Anolis sagrei: one gene and its partners. The protein of the gene in region 3 purifies or fractionates together with the protein of the main gene of each other region. This does not show direct contact. Links are inferred from orthologs where the notes say so. Each region holds a gene or a part of one and is shown on either strand. Other genes may lie near its edges.

The links. The genes of interacting proteins can lie anywhere in the genome.
Region 1: the proteins of RAF1 (region 3) and CCT5 purify together in Homo sapiens (affinity purification with mass spectrometry; 3 studies listed by BioGRID and IntAct, with this or other methods). This does not show direct contact. The link is inferred for Anolis sagrei from reciprocal best matches to the Homo sapiens genes RAF1 and CCT5.
Region 2: the proteins of RAF1 (region 3) and DICER1 purify together in Homo sapiens (affinity purification with mass spectrometry; 3 studies listed by BioGRID and IntAct, with this or other methods). This does not show direct contact. The link is inferred for Anolis sagrei from reciprocal best matches to the Homo sapiens genes RAF1 and DICER1.

Annotation. Positions count from the first base shown.
Region 1 is NC_090024.1:140,479,302-140,486,354, reverse strand, and holds the start of CCT5 (T-complex protein 1 subunit epsilon), read left to right. Parts: upstream 1-4,048; 5' UTR 4,049-4,170; coding exon 4,171-4,275; intron 4,276-7,053. UniProt on the Homo sapiens protein: Component of the chaperonin-containing T-complex (TRiC), a molecular chaperone complex that assists the folding of actin, tubulin and other proteins upon ATP hydrolysis.
Region 2 is NC_090021.1:318,038,599-318,045,893, forward strand, and holds the start of DICER1 (endoribonuclease Dicer), read right to left. Parts: upstream 3,006-7,295; 5' UTR 2,827-3,005; exon of another isoform or gene 2,665-2,826; intron 1-2,664. UniProt on the Homo sapiens protein: Double-stranded RNA (dsRNA) endoribonuclease playing a central role in short dsRNA-mediated post-transcriptional gene silencing.
Region 3 is NC_090022.1:64,260,453-64,267,951, forward strand, and holds the start of RAF1 (RAF proto-oncogene serine/threonine-protein kinase), read left to right. Parts: upstream 1-4,474; 5' UTR 4,475-4,637; intron 4,638-7,499. UniProt on the Homo sapiens protein: Serine/threonine-protein kinase that acts as a regulatory link between the membrane-associated Ras GTPases and the MAPK/ERK cascade, and this critical regulatory link functions as a switch determining cell fate decisions including proliferation, differentiation, apoptosis, survival and oncogenic transformation.

The sequences.
Region 1 (7,053 bases), on a different chromosome or scaffold from region 3:
GCTGTATAAAATCCACACTGAAGTGGATTATATGGCAGTGTGGACTCAGATAACCCAGTTCAAAGCAGTTATTGGGGATTATCTGCCTTGATATTCTGGGTTATATGGCTGTGTGGAAGGGTCCTTAGAAACTCTCATTTGAGATATGGTGGGTGGTTATCGGGAGAAAAGAAGTTTACTCTGGAGTCAATCCAGTTGTGGAATTCTCTTCCCAAATAAGGTTGCCTGGCATGCACTTTGTGATATTTTCAATGACATCATTTTAATTTACCCAGGAATGGTAAACAAGTTCAGAATCTTTGACTAGTTCAATTCATTTCTGGATGTTGCTGAAAGTTTTTGTCACACTATTTTTTTCTGTTTTCATCTTTAATTGTTTATATTCATATTTTATTATTTTTATTGTGTGATGGGAGATACCAAGGACATAGATCTGCTAAATTTGCAACTCTATTTGCCCTCAACCATACGTTCAATGCTAGGGTGGGGTGGAAATCAGTCTAGTTGTGAAGCTAGAATAAAGAAATTCTTCATTGCCACATGGAAGGGAAATATCCTTGTTGTCCCATCCACCAAGGGAGCTTTGGATAGATCTACATTCCCAGCATAATTCAGGCTGTTCTTCACACTGTAATTCTATACACACAAATCTGAGAAAAATGTTTTTGGATTTCTTTTTAAATAGGCATCCAGATGATAGTACTATCAACCACAGAATAGGGTGAAACTGTGTAACATGAGCCCTCCTACAGGTGGGACAAGAGAATGACAAAAGGGAAGAAAAGCTATCCTAGAGAAGTGTTCACTCAGGTTTTTAAAAAAGCATTTTTAATTGGTTTTCCCACTTTTGCAAGGATCTTGCACCTGTAACCCCAGAGAATGTGCACGGCCTATTGTAAAGTCAAAGTACTGTTGAAATAAGTGGAAGGTCAAGAGGATCCCAGTAGTTTATAATATGCTTCAAGCATATAACCATAAATTGGATCCAAAAACTGCAGATCCTGGATAGCGTATTGCAAAACGACATTGGCTAATAAAATGCATCAAGTAATTTCAGAAGGAAATCAGCCTGGGCTTTATAGTTACAGCAAAGGCACTGCCTTTATAGATAAGGAAAAACAAGATTGTTGTAATAGAAATACGTCATTTTATTGTCCAGATGTATATTTATATTTTGAACAAAAGGCTACTGTCAGAACCCCAGGGATACAAACAAGGGAACTATGGGAGGAAGAATTGGAAATAAAAATAGGAGAAAAGGAATTGGGAAAAATTATGGGGAGCAAGAAACCTCAAGAATTTATCAATTAGGATAAAAGAAAACTACTACAAGATGGTATGGAAATGGTACCTGACCCCGACAAAATTACACAATATGGATAAGGGTTGTTCAGAAAAATGTTGGAGGGGTTGCCAAGAAGGGGGTACATATATCTACATGTGGTGGCAAGGTACAGGGATTCTGGGGAAAAGTTATAGTAGAAAGTATTACGAAGAAAAAAATTAATATATATCCGGCGACTATACTGTTATCTATTTATAATACAGATGAATGGAAGGAAAATGAAAAGAATTTGATAACAATGTTGTTAACGGCTGCAAGGCTACAAATAGCAAAAAGGAGAGGTGAAAATTAAGACAGAAGAAATTACCAATAAATGATAACTAACATGTAATCTAAAGGTTAAAAAAGGCCTAAGGAAGGATAATGATTTTGAAAGTATATGGAAAATATTTATTGAAGAAACATTAAGGAAAGAAGATGGGAACCAACCCCTACCAGAAGAAATGAGGTTCTGGTGGGAGCATTGTGCAGAAGTCATTGATACTATGTATGTGTTTAACTGTTAGAGTATATTTGTGTTTGTAACAGTAGCTAAAATTAGAGTTATCTGGTTTGAATCCACATTGAGCGTTGCCAAGGAGACCAGGCAGGCTAGCTCAGGAGAGTGAGAAGTGGGCGGAGCCAAGCAGGAAAAGTTATAGGTGTCTTTGGAAAAGGACCAGAGTGTGGGAGAGTGGAGGCTTAAAAAAGCCTGGGAGAGACGGGTGTGTGAGCAGCTGGAGGTTTTTCAGTCTAGAAGGGCTGAAGAGAGAAACCTGACCAGTTTCTTTAGTCAAGGAAGACTAAAGGAAGCCTGTTAGGATCCCTAGTCAAGGAAGGACTAGAGATCAGAGATTTGATCAAGGAAAGATCAAATTGGAAGGCTAGTTATAGTGGGAAACATTGTTCACTAAAGAGCTTCACCTCAGTAAAAGTCGGCCACAAGCTGTGTTATTTGAAAGAGTGGACTATATTAAAACCAAGTGACATTCAGAGTTCTATAAGTTATTTTAACAGCCTGCAACCATACGCTTTGTACACAATAAACTTGTTATCTTTTGTTAAAAACCGTCTCATCTCATCTAACCTGTCTAATATCACCTAATCTCATCGGTGATACCTCAAATACCTCACATTGGTGGCAGTTACCTTGATTTACAACTAATAATTGGCCTCCTCTATAATATATTCTTATACACAATTGAGGCCTGAGATTAATTCCCTCCACAATCATCCACATCTGCACAATTGGTTTGCGCATCTTCTCAAGCATAAAGAAAAGAACTCCAGAGATGGGGACCACAAGGGGTAGCACAATGGGGGGAAAGGAGAAGTAATTATATGAATTGTAGAGATTGTTTTGCAATGAAATGAATGCAATAATGGTCATATATTCCAGTTCAAAGCAGATAATGTGGTATTTTAATCAGCTGTGTGGAAGGGGTCGCAGTGAACTGGAACTCAAGCAACTGGAGGCCTTCCCACAAGGCTGTATAAAATCCCACATTAACTGCTTTGAACTGGAATATATTGTAGTGTGGACTCAGATAACCCAGTTCAAAGCAGATATTGTGAATTATCTACCTTGATATTCTGAGTTATATGGCTGTGTGGAAGGGCCCCGAGAGTTCACTGTTCTCAATAAATGTTCTTCCAAGCTTTTAAGCAGAGGCTGGATGGCCATCTGTCAGGGGTGATTTGAATGCAATATTCCTGCTTCTTGGCAGGGGGTTGGACTGGATGGCCCATGAGGTCTCTTCCAACTCTTTGATTCTATGATTCTAAGCCCCAGCCTTCTTACAAGTAGATAAATTCAATGAAAAGTCACGTTTTCAATCTGAATCCTGGGATTTGTAGTTTGGCGAGGCAACAATTCGTTAGCAAAGGAGGCTACAGACTAAAGGCTAGCTTCCATGATTCCATAGCATTCATTCCACAGTGTAGATCGACCCTTGGCCCAAACCAAGCCAATGCCTTTGATGTTGAAGCTAACTGGGAAGGGAGTTCCACGAGTATCCATTAACACTTACTTCTGTGGATCCAGCCACTGACTAAACGTGTTCGGAGGGAGCCTGCAAGCGACTTCCGGAAACAGTGAGACTAAGGCTGGCCTTGCTGCTGGAGTGGACAGTACCATTATTCCCACAAAGGTGGGGAAGTCTAAGTATCTCAACGAACGTCCCTTCTCTACTTTCCACTGAAAAGCAAAAAGCAAAACAAAGGCAAGTCGTTTACCACATTGTCTTTGAGAGCAGCTCGGATTTTAAAGGCTTGCGTTTCTCAATGGCCTCTATTGTCATTTGAAAAGAAAACATCCCCCCCCCCCCCAAAAAAAAGAACCATCTGAGAATAACTAAATTATAGAGGTAGGAAACTATAGAGTCATTAGAAACCTGCAGTTGTATAGGAAGCCGTCATTGACACATGACGCTGAGGAGCTCGAGGCTATGGCATTATAAGGGCCCTTCCACACAGCCCTATATCCCAGAATATCTGCTTTGAACTGGATTTTTTGAGGTAAAGTGGGATTTCCTGCCTCGATATTTTGGAATATAGGGCTGTGTGGAAGCGCCCCAAGAAAGAAACTCTGTAGAAAAAAAATGGCCCCTTGCGCATGCGCAGTTGCTCGCACTGCTCGTGGACACTTCCAGAATAGGAGTCGTCGCGCGAAGAGTTCGAGAAAGCCCTTCGCCGCAAAGAGGTGGCCGGTGCGCATGCGCCTGTTCTTTCATTGGGCGGTCTCGCGAGAAGAGAAGAGCGAGCGAGAGGCGTCCGCGTTGTGGTAGCGGCGCTCACGCGGGTTCTTTTCTTTTCCTCGTTGCCGTTAGCCCGGCTCTGTTTGCATCATGTCGGCCGTGGGGACGCTGGCCTTTGACGAGTATGGACGACCTTTTTTCATCCTCAAGGACCAGGACCGGAAAACCCGCGTGACAGGCATAGAGGCCTTGAAGGTGAGAGCCATGGCGGGGAAGGCGTTGGGCGGTGGTTGTAGGCCCTTCCTATGTTCTCTCTCTCTCTCACCCCCCCCCCCACCTCGAGTTGGAAGATTCCTTCTCCATATACTTGAGGCGTACAATGGGCGGTACCATTTCGCACTGCGGGGAGGGATGGCCTAGTCATGCTTTCCCTTGCATTCTGGTGGCAGAGAATCGAAATACAGACTTTGCTACATCAGTGTAGGCTAGGCCTGAGCAAACTTCGGCCCTCCAAGTGTTTTGGACTTCAACTCCCACAATTCCTAACAGGACTCTTCCTTCTATTCAGCTCTAAGAAAAAATGAAAGATTGAAAAGAAGATGCTTACGCAAAGAATGGCAAACACAGTAGGGTACTGAAACATTTGAAAGCAGCCTTCTTCAAACAGGCAATTTCAGATCTGATGGACTATAACTCCCATTATCCTAGCAAATATTGTCATTGGGGGATTTATTTATTTACTTCATTTATATACCGCTTTTCTCAGCCCCCAGGCAGCTCAAAGCAGTTAACAACAGCAAAATTCAATGCAAAACATCACAAAACCATTAATGGACAATTAAAACAATAGCATCATCAACAATTAAACAATATAACAATCCTCACCACCTCTGAGGATGCTTGCCATAGATGCAGGTGAAACGTCAGGAGAAAAATTGCCTCCAGAACATGGCCATATAGCCCGGAAAAACCTACAACAACCCAGTGATTCCGGCCATGAAAGCCTTCGACAATACAATATAACAATCATTAGCGTCTCATCAGTAAAATCAGAATCCATTCTCATCATACGTTAATCCGTGTTCCTATATTCATTACACCAGCAGCAACAGTGCAGAAAACATGCAGACAAAAGCACATGATTAGAAATGTCATTGAATTGGGTAATAATGACAGTTCTGAGTGGAACGCATGCACATTAGAAGGTTCAATAATAATAATAAGCTTATACCCCACCACAATCTCCCCCAATGGGGACTCGGGGCGGCTTACATGAGGCCAAGCCCAAACAACAAGTTACAATAAAATAAGATACAAATTGCAATAAAATAAACAATATAGCATTAAAATATAAAACATATAAACAATATACACAAAACATAAAAAAAAGTAAACCAGACATAATGACAATGAGCGTGCCGTATGTACATAAAATGATTTAAAAACTCAGGGTGAGATAAAGGAGCAGAATTATTTGTAAGGGAGTGTGCAATTTACAATGAGACCCAATTTGTGTGAATGACAATGGACTGACCTGGACTATGATTTCAAATCTGCGTGATTTAAACAAATGTTTTAGTGATTTCAAAGCATTAACAATTTTTTTAAATTTCTTTTACAATTTATTACTCTTGTTGGCATTGAATGAATGCCTGTTGTAAAGCTGCTCTGAGTTCCCCTCCAGGAGTAAGAAGGACATGATACAAATATGGGGAATAATAAATAAATCAGGACAGGGTTTTAATCTTGTATGTGTAGATACAGTACATGCAAGCTGGGCTAAAGTAAAATGTTTTTTGTGGTTATATTTAACTGCAGATATATTTCTGTAAATACATAATTAATAGATTTCTGCTGAAATAGTGGAGAAAAACTTTATAAAGCGTAGTTTTAGTATCACCCTTTGTTGGTATCAGTTGGGGTAGTTTGCATCCTGTGCATCTCCATAGTGCTTCCACTGGATGGAAGAACCTCAGTTACTAATGCCTGAAAATGCAACCAAGTGTATGGCTGACTTACGTGCAGCCCATCCCCACTCCAAATAAAAATAATAATGTCTAAGTAAGTGAGACCAGCAGGTGAACAACCTTTTAAGATCGTTTGCTGGACCCTGATGATCTTGCTAACTCAGGCATGGCTGGTACACTGTTAGGAATTATAGGAGTTGAAGTTCAAAACACCTGGAGGGCTGGAGTTTGCCTAGGCCTGGTGTAGATAATTCTTTCTTCCAGTGCATTGTGAAGTGGTGCCATTCCTTTTGTCATTGAACTCTGCCAATCCAGAATAATGAAAATAGCCTGATGAGTTAGTACAGGATGGATATCCCTTATCTGAAAGTAGAACCAGAAGTGTGTGGGATTCCAGATTTTGGGGAGATTTTGGAACACTTTTATTTGGATCTGTATGTACATAATGAAAAGACAGACCTCCCAGTTTTACAGAAGTGAAGTAGAAGCTACATTCATACGTCCCAGGAACAGATGGCTTACTCCCTCAAAGGGCAGCTTCAATTCTCAGCGAGAACAACAATGAGATATCGTAGGGTGCAGCAACACCAGGCGTGGCAAATTTTGGCCCTCCAGGTGTTTTGGACTTCAACTCTCACAATTCCTAACAGCCTACCAGCTGTTAGGAATTGTGAGACTTGAAGTCCAAAACACCCAGAGGGCCAAAGTTTGCCCATGTCTGATCTACCTTGTAGAAGTAATGCAGTTTGACACCAAATTACTGTCCATGGGATCATGGGAGTTGTAGTTTGGTTTAGAATCAGTACTTTTTGTCAGAAAAAGGTGAAGATTTTGTAAAACTACAGCTTCCATGATCCAATAACATTAAGCCATGGCAGTTCAAGTGGTGTCAGGCTGCATTAATTCTGCAGTGTAGATGTACCCCAGGAGATGGGACAATAACTCCAAGCTGAAAATTCATTGATGTTTCATATACACGTAGCCTGGAGGTCATTTTAAAATAATATCTTTAAGGCTTTTGTGCATGAAACAAAGGTTTGTGCACATTGAAGCATCAGAAAACAAA
Region 2 (7,295 bases), on a different chromosome or scaffold from region 3:
CAGATCTCACTACCTCTGAGGATGCTTGCCATAGATGCAGGCGAAACGTCAGGAGAGAATGCCTCTAGACCATGGCCATATAGCCCGAAAAAACCTACAACAACCCAGTGATTCTGGCCATGAAAGCCTTCGACAATACATTTTGATAAATGTTTTTAGTTTTTATGTATTGTATGTGGATTTGTGTCCCGGCATTGAATGTTTGCTGTTTATATGCTGTGCTCCACCCTGAGTCCCCTTTGGGGTGAGAAGGGCGGAATATAAATATTTTAAATTTAAACATGAGCCAACTATGTGATGTGGCGGCAAAAAAAGCCAATGGGATTTTGGCCTGCATCAATAGGAGCATAGTGTCTAGATCTAGGGAAGTCATGCTCCCCAGGCTCTATTCTGCCTTGGTTAGACCACACCTGGAATATTGTGTCCAATTCTGGGCACCACAATTTAAGCGAGATATTGACAAGCTGGAATGTGTCCAGAGGAGGGTGACTAAAATGATCAAGGGTCTGGAGAACAAGACCTATGAGGAGTGGCTTAAGGAGCTGGGCATGTTTAACCTGAAGAAGAGAAGGCTGAGAGGAGATATGATAGCCATGTATAAATATGTGAGGGGAAGCCACAGGGAGGAGGGAGCAAGCTTGTTTTCTGCTTCCTTGGAGACTAGGACGCAGAACAATGGCTTCAAACTACAAGAGAGGAGATTCCATCTGAACATGAGGAAGAACTTCCTGACTGTGAGAGCCGTTCAGCAGTGGAACTCTCTGCCCCGGAGTGTGGTGGAGGCTCCTTCTTTGGAAGCTTTTAAACAGAGGCTGGATGGCCATCTGTCGAGGGTGCTTTGAATTTGATTTTCCTGCTTCTTGGCTCATGGGGTCTCTTCCAACTCTATGATTCTACATAACTCAATTTGTACTAACACCATATGAAAATGTTTAGAAAGAACATTCAAATGAGGAGCGTCTTAAAGAGCTGGGTATGTTTAGCCTGAAGAAGAGAAGGCTGAGAGGAGACATGATGGCCATGTATAAATATGTGAGTGGAAGTCACAGGGAGGAGGGAGCAAGCTTGTTTTCTGCTGCCATGGAGACTAGGACATGGAGCAATGGCTTCATACAAGATTCTTCCTTAACATTAGGAAAAACTTCCTGACTGTGAGAGCTGTTCAGCAGTGGAACTCTCTGCCCCGGAGTGTGGTGGAGGCTTCTTCTTTGGAGGCTTTTAAACTGATGGCCATCTGTCAGGGGTGCTTTGAATTGTGTATTTCAATATTTTGATAATATTTTGCCTAGTTCCAACAGACCTCACTTCCTCTGAGGATGCTTGCCATAGATGCAAGCGAAACGTCAGGAGAGAATGCCTCTAGACCAGGGGTCCTCAAACTTTTTAAACAGAGGGCCAGGTCACAGTCCCTCAAACTGTTGGAGGGCTGGATTATAATTTGAAAAAAACATGAATGAATTCCTATGCACACGGCACATATCTTATTTGTAGTGCAAAAAACACTTAAAAACAATACAATAATTAAAATGAAGAACAATTTTAACAAATATAAATATATTAGTATTTCAATGGGAAGTGTGGGCCTGCTTTTGGCTAATGAGATAGGATTGTTGTTGTTGTGTGCTTTTGAGTCGTTACAGACTTAGGTTGACCCTGTGTGGGGGCCGGGTAAATGACCTTGGAGGGCCACATCCGGCCCCCAGGCCTTAGTTTGGGGACCCCTGCTCTAGACCATGGCCATATAGCCCGAAAAAAACCTACAACAACCGAGTGATTCTGGCCATGAATGCCTTCGACAATACATTTTGATAAATGTTTTTAGTTTTTATGTATTGTATGTGGATTTGTGTCCCGGCATTGAATGTTTGCCGTGTATATGCTGTGCTCCACCCTGAGTCCCCTTTGGGGTGAGAAGGGCGGAATATAAATGTTTTAAATAATAAAGAAATGCGATTTTCCTGCTTCTTGGCAGAACGGGGTTGGACTGGATGGCCCACAAGGTCTCTTCCAATTCAATGATTCCTAGAATTTGTAGCATAAAGTGCATAATTGCCTATGTTTGAACGGGCATTCGGTTAAACAGTGCAATGAATGTGATGATTACAGGAATGGAAATTTGACGAATTGGATCACGACTCTAGTTATGAGATGCATTGTGTTGTCTATTGTTGTGTCAATATTGTATATTATGCTTTTATGGTTTTAAACTGTATATTGTTGATTGATTCTTATTCTTGTTGTAAACCGCGTTGAGTCGCCTGTTGGGCTGAGAAACTGCGGTATACAAGTAAAGTAAATAAATAAATATAGTGTAACTTCTTTAATAAATGTTCCTTTCTTCCCCTCCAAGTGCCCCAACCAGGTGTGTTTGACCTCACACAGGAAAGTGTGGGAGTTGAAGTCCAAAACCCTTGGAGGGCCAAAGTTAGATTTTGTGTCCTAAGTCAGTAGAAGCAGCAAAGGCGGCGAAGGGGAGGAAAGGCCCCGACCGCGTTGCCTGGCCAGACAAAGGCCTCCTCCTCCTCCTTCTCTTCGGCCCATCCTTCCCACTCGAGGAGGGAGAGAAGGCAGGGAAGAAAGGGGCCGCCGGCTCCCGTAGCAGGTGCTAGGCCTCACGCGGCTCCTCCTGAGGAGGGCGGCGGCGCCTCCTTCCTTCCTTCCTACCTACCTGCCAGGTGGGTCCCGCTCCCGGCTACAGGCGTCGCCTCATTGTGCCGCCATTGCTGCTGCCGCCGCCGCTCCTCCTCTTCCTCCTCCTCCTCCCGCCGCCATTGCTCCTCCGCCTCCTCCTCCTCCTGGGCTCAACTGTCAGGTCCCTCCATTCACCTGAGGCCGGCGCAGACGAGCCTCTTCCCCTCCCGCGCAGGCGCAGCTCCGCCCTCGCCTCCCTCTCTCTTCGAGAATTCGAAGCCGCCGCTGCCTGGTGCTACACAGTTCTCTCCTCACTCTCTCCTCGCCTCACGTATTGCTTTCCTCCCTCCTCTCGGCGCACGCGCGTTGGCGTCGCCCCTGTTGGATGAAAGAGCGCACGCGATTGGGGGGGAAACGCTGGGTGAGAGGTTAAAGGTAGGGACGCGGACCAATAGGGTGGCGGGAGACGGCAAAGGCTTGGTGAGAACGCGGCCCGGAGGGGAGGGGCTGGAGGAGTGGGTCTCACGTGCCTCTTTCCGGGTTCTTTTTTTTACCCTGAATTTAAACTTTGTGGCGAAGTGGTTTTTTTTTTTTTAAAGGGGAAGGCCTACATTTTTAAACATTCATTTTTGATTCTGAAGTAAAGTGAAGAAAAACCTAGTGAGAACCAAAACAATACCCCCCCAAAAAGAGCATATTTTCCTAATATATTCACTGGAAGCTTTTAAACGGGCTGGATGGCCATCTGTCAGGGGTGATTTGAATGCAATATTACCCCCCAAAAGAGCATATTTTCCTAATATATTCACTGGAAGCTTTTAAACGGGCTGGATGGCCATCTGTCAGGGGTGATTTGAATGCAATATTACCCCCCAAAAGAGCATATTTTCCTAATATATTCACTGGAAGCTTTTAAACGGGCTGGATGGCCATCTGTCAGGGGTGATTTGAATGCAATATTACCCCCCAAAAGAGCATATTTTCCTAATATATTCACTGGAAGCTTTTAAACAGGGGCTGGATGGCCATCTGTCAGGGGTGATTTGAATGCAATATTCCTGCTTCTTGGCAGAATGGGGTTGGACTGGATGGCCCATGAGGTCTCTTCCAACTCTTTGATTCTATGATTCTATGATTTATCACATGTTTTGGTAATGTATAGAATTATTATACTAGCCACGCCCTGCCACGCGTTGCTGTGGCCCAGTCTGTGTATATGTGTTTTGTGTGTGTGTATGTGTGCATATAGTTGTGTATATGTGCTTTTGTGCTTGCGTTGTAATGTATTTTTTTTTATTTTGGCTTTTTAAAGTCTCTTCCACTGTGTTCTTCAGTGATTTTATGAGTGATGGTCACTCCTTGGCCTGATAGGTGTCTTGCGTCCAAATTTGGTGTCAATTCGCTCAGTGGTTTTTGAGTTCTGTTAATCCCACAAAAGAACATTACATTTTTATTTATATATATTATATATAATATAAAGTGTTTTAAGATGGATGGATGGCATCCTTGAAGTGACCAGACTGACCAGAAGGAGCTGGGGGTGGTGACGGCCGACAGGGAGCTCTGGCGTGGGCTGGTCCAGGAGGTCACGAAGAGTCGGAGACGACTGAACGAATGAACAACAACAAAGTGTTTTATAAGTTTTACATAAACAAGGGGTTTCATTGCATAAAAAAAATTGTTGCACTAAAGAGAAAAAATAGAAGATAATATCGAAAGCGTAGTTTTGTAATCTATAAAACTTGTATTTATTATATTTATATAATAATATAAATTATATGAATTACATAATATGATATATGTTATATTTATATAATATACATCATCTAATGTAAATTACACAATATAATGTATATTATATTTATATAATATACATTATAAATTATATACATAATATGTAGGCTACTCCATTTCTTCAGTGTTCCTCTGTTTTGTAATCTATAAAACTTATATTTATTATATTTATATAATAATCTATATATAAAAAAATGCTCTGTGCATAATGAGTACCTTAAAAACAAAAAAACCCAATGAACGAAATCACCCCAAATTTGGCAACAAAACGTCTCACAATACAAGGAGTGACCATCACTCAAAAAATTACGATTTTGTAATTTGGGAGTTGTAGTTATTGGGATTTATAGTTCACCTATAATCAAAGCATTCTGAACTCTGTCAACGAGGGAATTGAACCAAACTTGGCACACAGGACTCCCATAACCAACAGACAACACTAGAAGGGTTTGGTGGGCATTGACCTTGAGTTTGGGAGTTGTAATTCACCTACATCCAGAGAGCACTTTGGAGTCAAACAATGATGGATCTGGACCAAACGTGGCACAAGCACTCAATACACCTAAATATGAACACAGATGGAGTTTGGGGGAAATAGACCTTGACATTTGGGAGCTATAGTCACTGGGATTCACAGTTCACCTACAATCGAAGAGCATTCTGAACCCCATGAACGACAGAATCAGGCAAACTTCCCACACAGGACACCCACAACCAACAGAAAATACTTAAGGCCATCCAACTCCCTTCATCAGGGCAAGAAAACGTAATCAAAGTCCCTCTGTCAAAGAGCCATCCAGCCATAGATACAGATAGATAGATAGATAGATAGATAGATATGATTCACACACCAGAAGTTTATATGCTTTTGAAAGGATTCTTGATTTTTTTTAAAAAAAAAAACATAGTTAACCTCAAATCATTTGCTTACTGACTGGTGATATGCATCATTTTAATTGAGAAGGCTAGGGGAGAAGCATTTTATTTATGTGCACCTGGTGCTCAGGGATCTTGTCTCCCATGTTATATAAGAAGAAGCCCACCTTCATATATGCTACGGAAAGGCTGTTACAGGAGCAAATTATGTCATCCACAATATCAGAACTCCATTTACCTCCATATCTTACATTGTGCTATATATCCGGGCTTCTGGACCCTTCCGACCGAGAAATTTTTATGTGACTCCAAATATATAGATACATGAAGTAGATATAAAAATCAAACATTTATTTAAAATCAATCAACATTTGCAAGGCTTGATAAACAGGCCGATTTTCCTTTTGTGAAATACAGGTGAAGCATTTTCTGCAGAGTTCACTGTAAACCAGTGTTTCTTAACCTGGGGCTCAGGACCCCTGGGGGGGGGGGGTCGCGTGAGAATGTCAGAGGGGTATCCAAAGACCATTGGAGAAAACTGTATTTTGTGTTGGTGAGGGGGTTCAGTGTGGGAAGTTTGGCCCAATTCTATCATTGGTGGAGTTCAGAATGCACTTTGTAAGGGAACTATAAATCTCAGCAACTACTACTTCCAAATGACAGAATCAAGTCCCCCCAACCCCACCAGTATTAAGCTGTATTAAGGGGTCACGACATTAGGAAGGTTGTTGCTAACAGATTTGTGTGGCATTCAGAAACCTTTTATTGTTCATGATCCCAGCATTGTGCTAAGGGGACCCCATTTGGGGTCAGGACCCACAGTTTAAGAAACAATACTATATATCATTATTTAGCAGCAATGCTTTTCTGCCTTTTATATATATGACAAGCAACTATCCTCAGACAGCATTTCATACGTATTGCAATGTGAAAGACGTGAACTATATCAAGAGCCTCAACTGTTGTCTCCCTGGCTTAAATGACAATATATGTGCTTTATCACATTATTGTGGTTGTTAACTTTAACTTTGGATGCATCTGTACTCCAGAATTAATGAAACTTGGCACCACTTTAATTGGCAATTGCTCAATGCTATGGAATCCTGGAAGTTATAGATTTACAAGGTTTCTCTGCCAAAGATGTCAATGATTTGGGGCCCAATTTGGGGGTTTCCCATCAAGCAATAAGATTGCCATGTTTCTGTAACTCACAAAAGGTTTGCCAGAAAGGAATACTTTGAGAACTCTGAATTCAGCAGGACTCTGAAGGATAGTTGACAAGTCTACAGAAGGAATGCCTTGATTTGTGGGTGTGTTTTTCTGCTCCTGACAACTTGAAAAGAAAATTTGTGGGGGTTAGAAAGGAATTGACAGCTGCTTCCAACGACTTTATTATACTTTCTATTTTGCAGTCTCTTCTTTCATTTCACGAAATGACTGTCACCCCCTTTCTTCAGCTGTTCTGCTGCCTTTCAAATTCCAGGCTGGGGCATAAATGGCATGACTCTCCCTGAAAATGTTCTAGCTGTATTGTAATTAAACTACCAAAACACCATTACAGTTTCTTTTGATGCCATTGTCTAATATGTCTCTATTAAAAAGAGAAAAATACTCAACATTTTCACATCCAGCGCTTTAGTCGCAATTATGGACATAACAAGTTTGGTGAACGTACTGTGGTTATGACTGATTTAGCCCAATTATTCAGGGAAAGATTTACTATCTACCAATGCAAAAAACGAATAGATAAATTAGAATAAAATTATTGTTTCAGTGTATTTATGGACAGTTTCAAGGGATTCTGGAGGTCAATATAATTTATGAATGAAGATATGAGGAAAAGCTAAGTGTATGACATTTTCCTTGGCTTTCTTTTAGTGTAAAACTTTAGATAGGTGTTCTTTGATACATAGGAAAGAAAATGAAGGAGATTCACCAGTTCCTCCCTTTTTTGGATAAGCATTCTTAATAGGCCTACTATGATGATTTCCAAT
Region 3 (7,499 bases):
TTTTATTTCCTGAAGTATGGACTGGTTGGACCTTCTGCCAGTCCAAGGCATTCTCAGAATTTTCCTCCAACAACACAGTTCAAAAACATCTATCTTCCTTTGTTCAGCCTTCTTTATGGTCTAGCTCTCACATCCGTAGGTTGCTACGGGGTATACCATTGCTTAAACTATATGGATCTTCATTGCCAGTGTGATGTCTCTACTCTTCACTATTTTATCGAGATTGGTCATTTCTCTCCTCCCAAAAAGTAAACGTCTTCTGATTTCCTGGCTGAAGTCTGTGCCTGCAGTAATCTTTGCACCTAGAAATACAAAGTATGTCACTGCCTCCATGTTTTCTCCATGTTTGTCATGTTAATGACTACAATTTGCAATGTTAATGACTACAATTTGATAGGGTTAACAGTAGAGATCACAGCTTTTAAAATCTTCATCCAGCTGCACATTTGACAACTAGCTTGTAATGCCTAAGGATGGGACATCTAGGAGTTGTAGTTCCAAAAATGAAGAGCAGTTCATGCCTTTTCCTTTTGCTGCAGTAATGTGAACCATTTACCTTAAGTAAGGTATGTAGTTTTGGTCGCTTCACCCTTATTGTAGGATCATAGAGTCGGAAGAGACCTCGTGGGCCATGTAGTCCAACCTCCTGCCAAGAATCGGGAAAATCACATTCAAAGCCTCTGCTTAAAAGCCTTCAAAGAGGAAGCCTCCACCTTCTGTCTAGAGATACAGGTTTTGTGGCAGATGAGCATCACTCTAATGTTGCTTCTTGTGAACCATTCAGAGCAGTTATTTTCCAAGAGCATGAATTACTATTACAACATGGAGCCCCCGGTGGCGCAGTGGGTTAAAGCCCCGTGCCAACAGGACTGAAGACCGACAGGTCGCAGGTTCGAATCCGGGGAGAGGCGGATGAGCTCCCTCTATCAGCTCCAGCTCCTCATGTGGGGACATGAGAGAAACTTCCCACAAGGATGATAAAACATCAAAAAATCATCCAGGCGTCCCCTGGGCAACGTCATGTCATGTCAGAGCGGTTGCTTCTGACACGACAAAAAAAAAAACAAAACAAAAAACTATTACAACTGTGGAAAATTATAGAATACAGAAGTAGTTACCTGTTCCTCACATGGATTTCAGTGGAACAAAAGATGTCATGATGACTACTTTAATTGTATTTACTTCAGCGTGATTTTCCCAACCCAAGGCCCTCCGGATGGTTGGACTACAACTGTCCATTACCCTCAGCCAGCAATAATTGGAGGCAATAATTGGAGTGATGGGAGGTGTAATCCAGCCCATCTGGATGTCCCTGCATCTTGAAAAGTTGAGTAAAGCATGACTAACATCCTCCACTGGATTCAGTTCAGAGAGTTCATGTAAGAAAGTGCTTCTGTGAATGTGTTCTTTCATGGAAAGATTGCTCTTCAGTTTGTATTGGAAAACAGTTTGAAGACAACTTGTCCTTACCACTTTGCATCTATCTCAGCAGCCAGATGAAAACAAACTTTCTACAGTGCTCTACATGCATAGTGCCAGGTGGGTGGTGTTTAGCCTTACCATGTTTTTGCTCTTATGCCGTAAGCCAAATCTAGACTAAAAATGACTCCCAATATTTTGAGATGTATCATTCTTTTTCTCTGTGTTGCAAGCACATCTCTTTCTTTTCCATTGGTTTTAGTGGGTGAGCAAATGGCAATCTGCTCAAGGATGCCTTGTGTTTATGTTTTTTAAAATGGTTTATTTTTTAAATCTAATTTTAAAATTTCATATTTTGATCTCTTTTTCAGTGTCACTGCAAAGATTTAGAACACATCTAAAAATCAATCTAAACTTTTTTGTTTTGCTTCAATAGTACTGATCAAGATATATATTTTAAAATACTTTTGTTGGTGCGGATTAATAGAGCTGCATTTTTGGACTCTTCCTGGTGGGTTGGGATAGAAGGACATATCAGTATGTATATTATCCAGTGGCTTTAAAAAGTACTAATTTGGGTTCTTTCACATGGAATCATATGGTAGCATTGGCTCCTTTCTTGTAGGCACCCCGTCTGATCCTGTTTGAAACTCATCTGCTGCAATTGGCTTTATTGCTATGGACTGCACCCAAACCGTCCTCCTTTGTATTGTGACGGGTTCTATTCGTTTCTCTCGTCTTCAATTCGTCCCTTTAGCCAATGATGTCTGTGGAGGCGTGTCATGGGCGGACCAAACTTCCAGCTGATAGTCTGTTAGGAGTAGAAGCTGACATGTTTTCGTATATATGTATGCTTGTATGGATGAATGTTTGTATGTATTTTCTATGATGGCTTTCACATCCAGGGAGCCCTGTGAAGCATGCCAGTGATGGATTAGGACCAAAGCTGGCACACAAAGCCATCATTGTAACCATTTTAAAATACTGGCAGGGTTTGGGGGGGGGGGGGATATAACATATGATGTCAGGAGTTGTAGTCCACCACAATCCACCACGGTTCTGGCCCAACTTACCTGTCCGGACGCATCTCCCCTTACAAACCTTCCAGGACTTTAAGATTGTCTGGGGATGCCCTGCTCTTGATCCTGCATTCGTCACAAGTGCGGCTGGCGGGGACGAGAGACAGGGCCTTCTCAGTGGTGACCCCTCGGCTATGGAACACCCTCCCTAGCGAGATCAGATCGGCCCCTTCCCTTTTAACATTCCAGAAAAAAGTCAAGACGTGGCTTTTTGAGCAAGCATTTGCAAACACAGTGTAACAGACATAGGAAAATGAATGACTGGATGATGTGATTGGATAATGTTTTTAACTAGGAGACTCCAATGACACATGCTTTTGTTAACTTTTCTATGGCGTTATGCTATCTGGATGTTTTTAATTGCATTTTATGATTTTAGTACTGACTGTAAACCGCCCTGAGTCACCTCTGGGCTGAGAGGGGCAGTATATAAATATAGTAAATAAATAAATAAATAAATAAATAAGGAACCCTGTGAAACACAGCAACTATGCATCTGGACCAAAGTTGCCTCATACCCATTATGGACATCTTAAAATACTGGTAGGGGTTTGGGGGAACTGAGGGCAGATGATGGAAGTTGTAATACACCCACATCCAAAGACCAATGTGTATCCTACATTCTAGCCACTTTGAGTCCTCATCACACTGGAAAATGAATCCACTTTAAATCCAGTTTCTGCCTCATGCAAAATTTTGGAATTTGTAGTTTTGTGAGGCTTCTCCCAAAACTACAAACCCTAGAATTCTGCAGGAGGCAGAAACCGGATTTAAAGTGGATTCATTCTCTAGTGTGATGAGGTCCTGAGTGTTCTTTGTGAAGAGAGCAAGTAGAGTGTAAATAAACTTAATAATAATTAATAATAATGGGATCATTCATAAAATTCAAAAACCCACCGTTTTGCTCTTGCACAACTTGCAGCAAAAGGGAAAAAAGGGGGATGGCAGCAAGGGGACATGGCCATTGGAAACATATAGTACAGTGATGGACTGTGCGATACTGGGAAACATGTGCTAGTAATTTACAGACGGGGAAGGAATGGACAAGTGTGAATGTGTGAGTAATCCAAGCATCTGATTACAGAATGATATTAACACTGAATGAGACAGGATGGCTATTCTGGCCTCTTCAGTGGGATAGCACCCTATGCCATGCTGTGTCCACACTTCAACACTTACTTTCCTGACTGCATATTGCTGTATTGCAGCAGCCCGGTCCTACCTAATCTCATTCACAGGAAGAGGATGATATGAATTGTGGTCCAATTCATGCCAAGTTTCGGAAAACTGCTTTACTGGAACTCTTGCTCTCCCTTGCACCAATGAACCACATAGTCACAATTTATTTCTCCATGGCCCCTTCGCTCAGTACAAATATAGCACCATGATTGTACTTTAATTTTTCATGGCTCTATCTTCTGGAATCTTGGGATTTGCAGTTAATGGAGAAATATCAAATAGCTAGAGTGCTATAGTGCCATTGACTGAATTACTATTCCCTTCTTTAAGTCTTCATTTCAAGTGGAGTTTTCAGATACTTTTGTTTCACCCAGCATAGTAAAGCTGATGCCCTCAGCAGTATGCTGATGGAGGCCCGTAATTCCTGGCACTCAGAAGCCTGAGATCCTGTTACATGGATGGTGTCATGCAACCTCTGAAAGCCACTGTATTATATTGACAATCTAAAAATAAAAGAGTGAGAAAAGCAGAAAGCCAAAGCAAGCAAAACATGCTATTAAAATGGAGCCAGAGAGGGGACAAGAGAAGGGAGTGTTTCAAGGGAGGGCTCTGTGGCATGTAGCTCCTCCAAAGAAAACGTGAATAGACTGGAGGTTATTTGGCTGTTGGGGGGTAGGTGGGTGGTCTTTTTTTAGGCTGTTGCAGCCATGTGATCTACCAGAGTGCCTGGCTAATCTGCATGGGAATCTGGGGGTGGGAAACTGAGCTGTCCATCTCAATCGGGCTCTTCCTCCCATCTGCCTCCTTGGAGTCAACATCCACTGCACCTTCTTTTCGGTTCTGCCTAGGCTCTTTTGCTGCTTATTAATCCTTGAAGCAAACTGGATGGCCCTGTATGCAGCCTTTCCAATTAACTTTTAATCGGCCTTTGAAAAGTTCATGCTTTCAAAACTTCAATAGGTAAGTGAAAATTTGGCTGAAGACTACTGTGTAGTAAACAATAATTCTCACAGTCTTTCCAGTCTGGGGTATATTTTCTTGTTAAGTCTTGAAAGTGGGATGATAGCTCTGTTTACACTTTGTCAGAGCAAAAGGCAAAAAGTCTCTACTAGATAAATAATGAGTTCTCAAACCGGCAAGGAATTACAACTTTGTGGTGATTGTAATATGTTTTGTGATTATTTATTGATCTGATTCATTCCTGAGAAGAAATTAGTACATATTAAGTGGTTGTGGATCTTTACATTGTGTTCCCCAATTATGCCTTTAGATTACTATAATTATTAAAACTGGTATTTGCTCTTCATTGGAGTAACTTATTTTGTCACTGACATATTTTTATTGAAGTTTTTTTAAAAAAAAATCTAATTAAGTCTGGGAGACTTGGCTTCTGTCTGAGAAAATCCCAGAGCTGTCTATAGAGAGAAGTAATCATTTTCACACATGGTAATTAGACAGTGTTTACATGTAATGCCTGTATTTGTAATTGAGGCATCAAATTTAATTTTTAGGCCAGTACATTAAACTGAGGGGAAAGAGGCTGGAGTTACAATACGTCTCTAGAAATTACTTTTGCAAAGAGTATGAGAACCTAGAAACATATTCATCTATTAAACAAGTATTTCTGTATCACCTCCCAGCTTACAAGGGGTGAATAAAATCAATTAAAACAATGCAAGGATAAAATGCTTAAAAACACATTAAAATGCTATTTTATAAAAAGCAGACTAAAAACAGCCCTAGATATCACTTGCTCTGTGCCAAAATTGCCCTTTGTCACATGTGGTCAAGCTTAGCAGTACTGAGTTTACCTGACCATATACAAAGTGCATAAGCTTTGGGGGGGAGGGGGGGGCTCTAAAACTATGAAATAGAGTCACGGTAGCCACATTAAAAAAAATGCCCCATGTTATGTGGAAGATACCATTTCAGTAGATACCACTTGACAAAACTCATTCTTCCATACAACTATTGTCCTCTTTTTCAGGTGGCCAGTCTTGCTGGTGTGTCCAGGACAAATGAAAGGATTTGAAACACCATTACTTTTAATGGATTAGTTTTACTTAATTTTTTTAAAGATAGTGTTCCAAACTCTATGCTAAATAGGTGATGCCCATTTAAACACAGAGAATCTAACTTGAAGAACAAACATGAGACACGGACTCTTTGTGGATGTGAGATGTAGCTCCTTCATTGCCATCTTTCCACAAAGTGATTTTCTGTCATCTGGCCAAGTGTTGAGTCATGGACCTGAGCTGGAGCAGAAAGATGACAAAGTGGGACCATTCCATAATCATAATCCCCATGACTATCTCGAACCTTAGCATGAATTCAAGGTGTTTGGGATAAACAGGGGTTTCAATTTCTGGATCTACCATAATCCCATCTATCCTGAAATTGGTTCTCGGTATACAACAGATTCATATTTTCTTATTTAAATTGAAGTTCATGGCAGATGCTTTCTACAGCTCAAGAGACCACCATATTAGTCTTTGTTGTTACTTTGCATTTAGTACCTGGAAGTTGCATTTCTGTAAACAGTACAGTTACCTCCCAGTTTCCACAAATTGATTTTGACATTTTATATAAATGATGCCATTTCACTACACCATTGTATGTAACGGAACTTGAGCATCTACAGATTTTGGTGACCAGTCTCTACAAGTGGCTCTGGAACCAAACCCCAGATGTGATCAATGACCCTTACAAAGGCCACAACTCAGCACAGACTTCAGTGCTTCGTAGTGGGATTCTATCACTGAGTTGGAATTCAAATACTGATCTCCCAAATATATGTGAGATTTTCACATATTTCACATACATTTCACATACATCTAATGAATCCTTATAACAAAACTTTACAGCTAGAATGAGGAACTTGGGAGTTTCCAGTACTTAATCAACGACTGCTTCCGTCATAGTTCAATTCATGTCAGGCTGACTGTGGCTGATGGGAATGCGAGTCTAGAAAGCTATAGAGGTCCACAGGTCCCCCGGTGTTTTCTAATGCACAGAGTTACAACTTAGTAATTGATGTTTTGTATTCAGGAGCTCCAAGTTTCCTTCTCTCGCAACACCAAGTAGAACTAGGGGAAAATCTGCATAAAATTCTGGAGAGCAGCTGCCACTCAAAATGGATGGGTTTTGGTTACATGAAGCAAGGGTCTGGTGCACTATAACATAGCTTGTGTTGTTTAAAATATCTTGTTAGTCTCGAGTCCCTTTTGGCAGAATATAAATAAATAAAATAAATAATCATCTTATGTTCTGATACCAGTCCAAAATTACTATCATCTCCATATTGCAGATGAGCAGAAAGGGTTGACGAAATAATACATCGTGAAGGGATGCTGATTTTAGCTGAAGTAACACTTTAAACAAGAGGCCTCTCTTGGTTTATCTCAGCCAAGGTCCTCCTATGGCTTTGCACTAAACTAATTCTAGACTGAGGTGGAAATCATGTAGTTTGAGATGATGTTGGATTACAGCAGTCCTAGCCAGTGGAGAAATGTTGGAATAATAACAACACTTGAAGTCTGCATGATTTCTGCTTTTGCTTTAGACATAGAAATTAGTTTGCAAACAAACAAAAAGATACATAGATTAGAGGCACAACATATATCTCTTTGGATTAACTGTTTATGTTGAGAAATATTAATTTCATGTGAGTGTTCCTCTGCATTTTGCAATGACACTCTGTGTAACATAAATAGAAATTGAAAATCTGTTTTCGCTACTGCTTGGAGCATGGCACAAAAGAGGCACTGATCCTTTAAATCAGCAGGTGGGAATTATCCTTCCTACAGAACAAACAGTTAACAT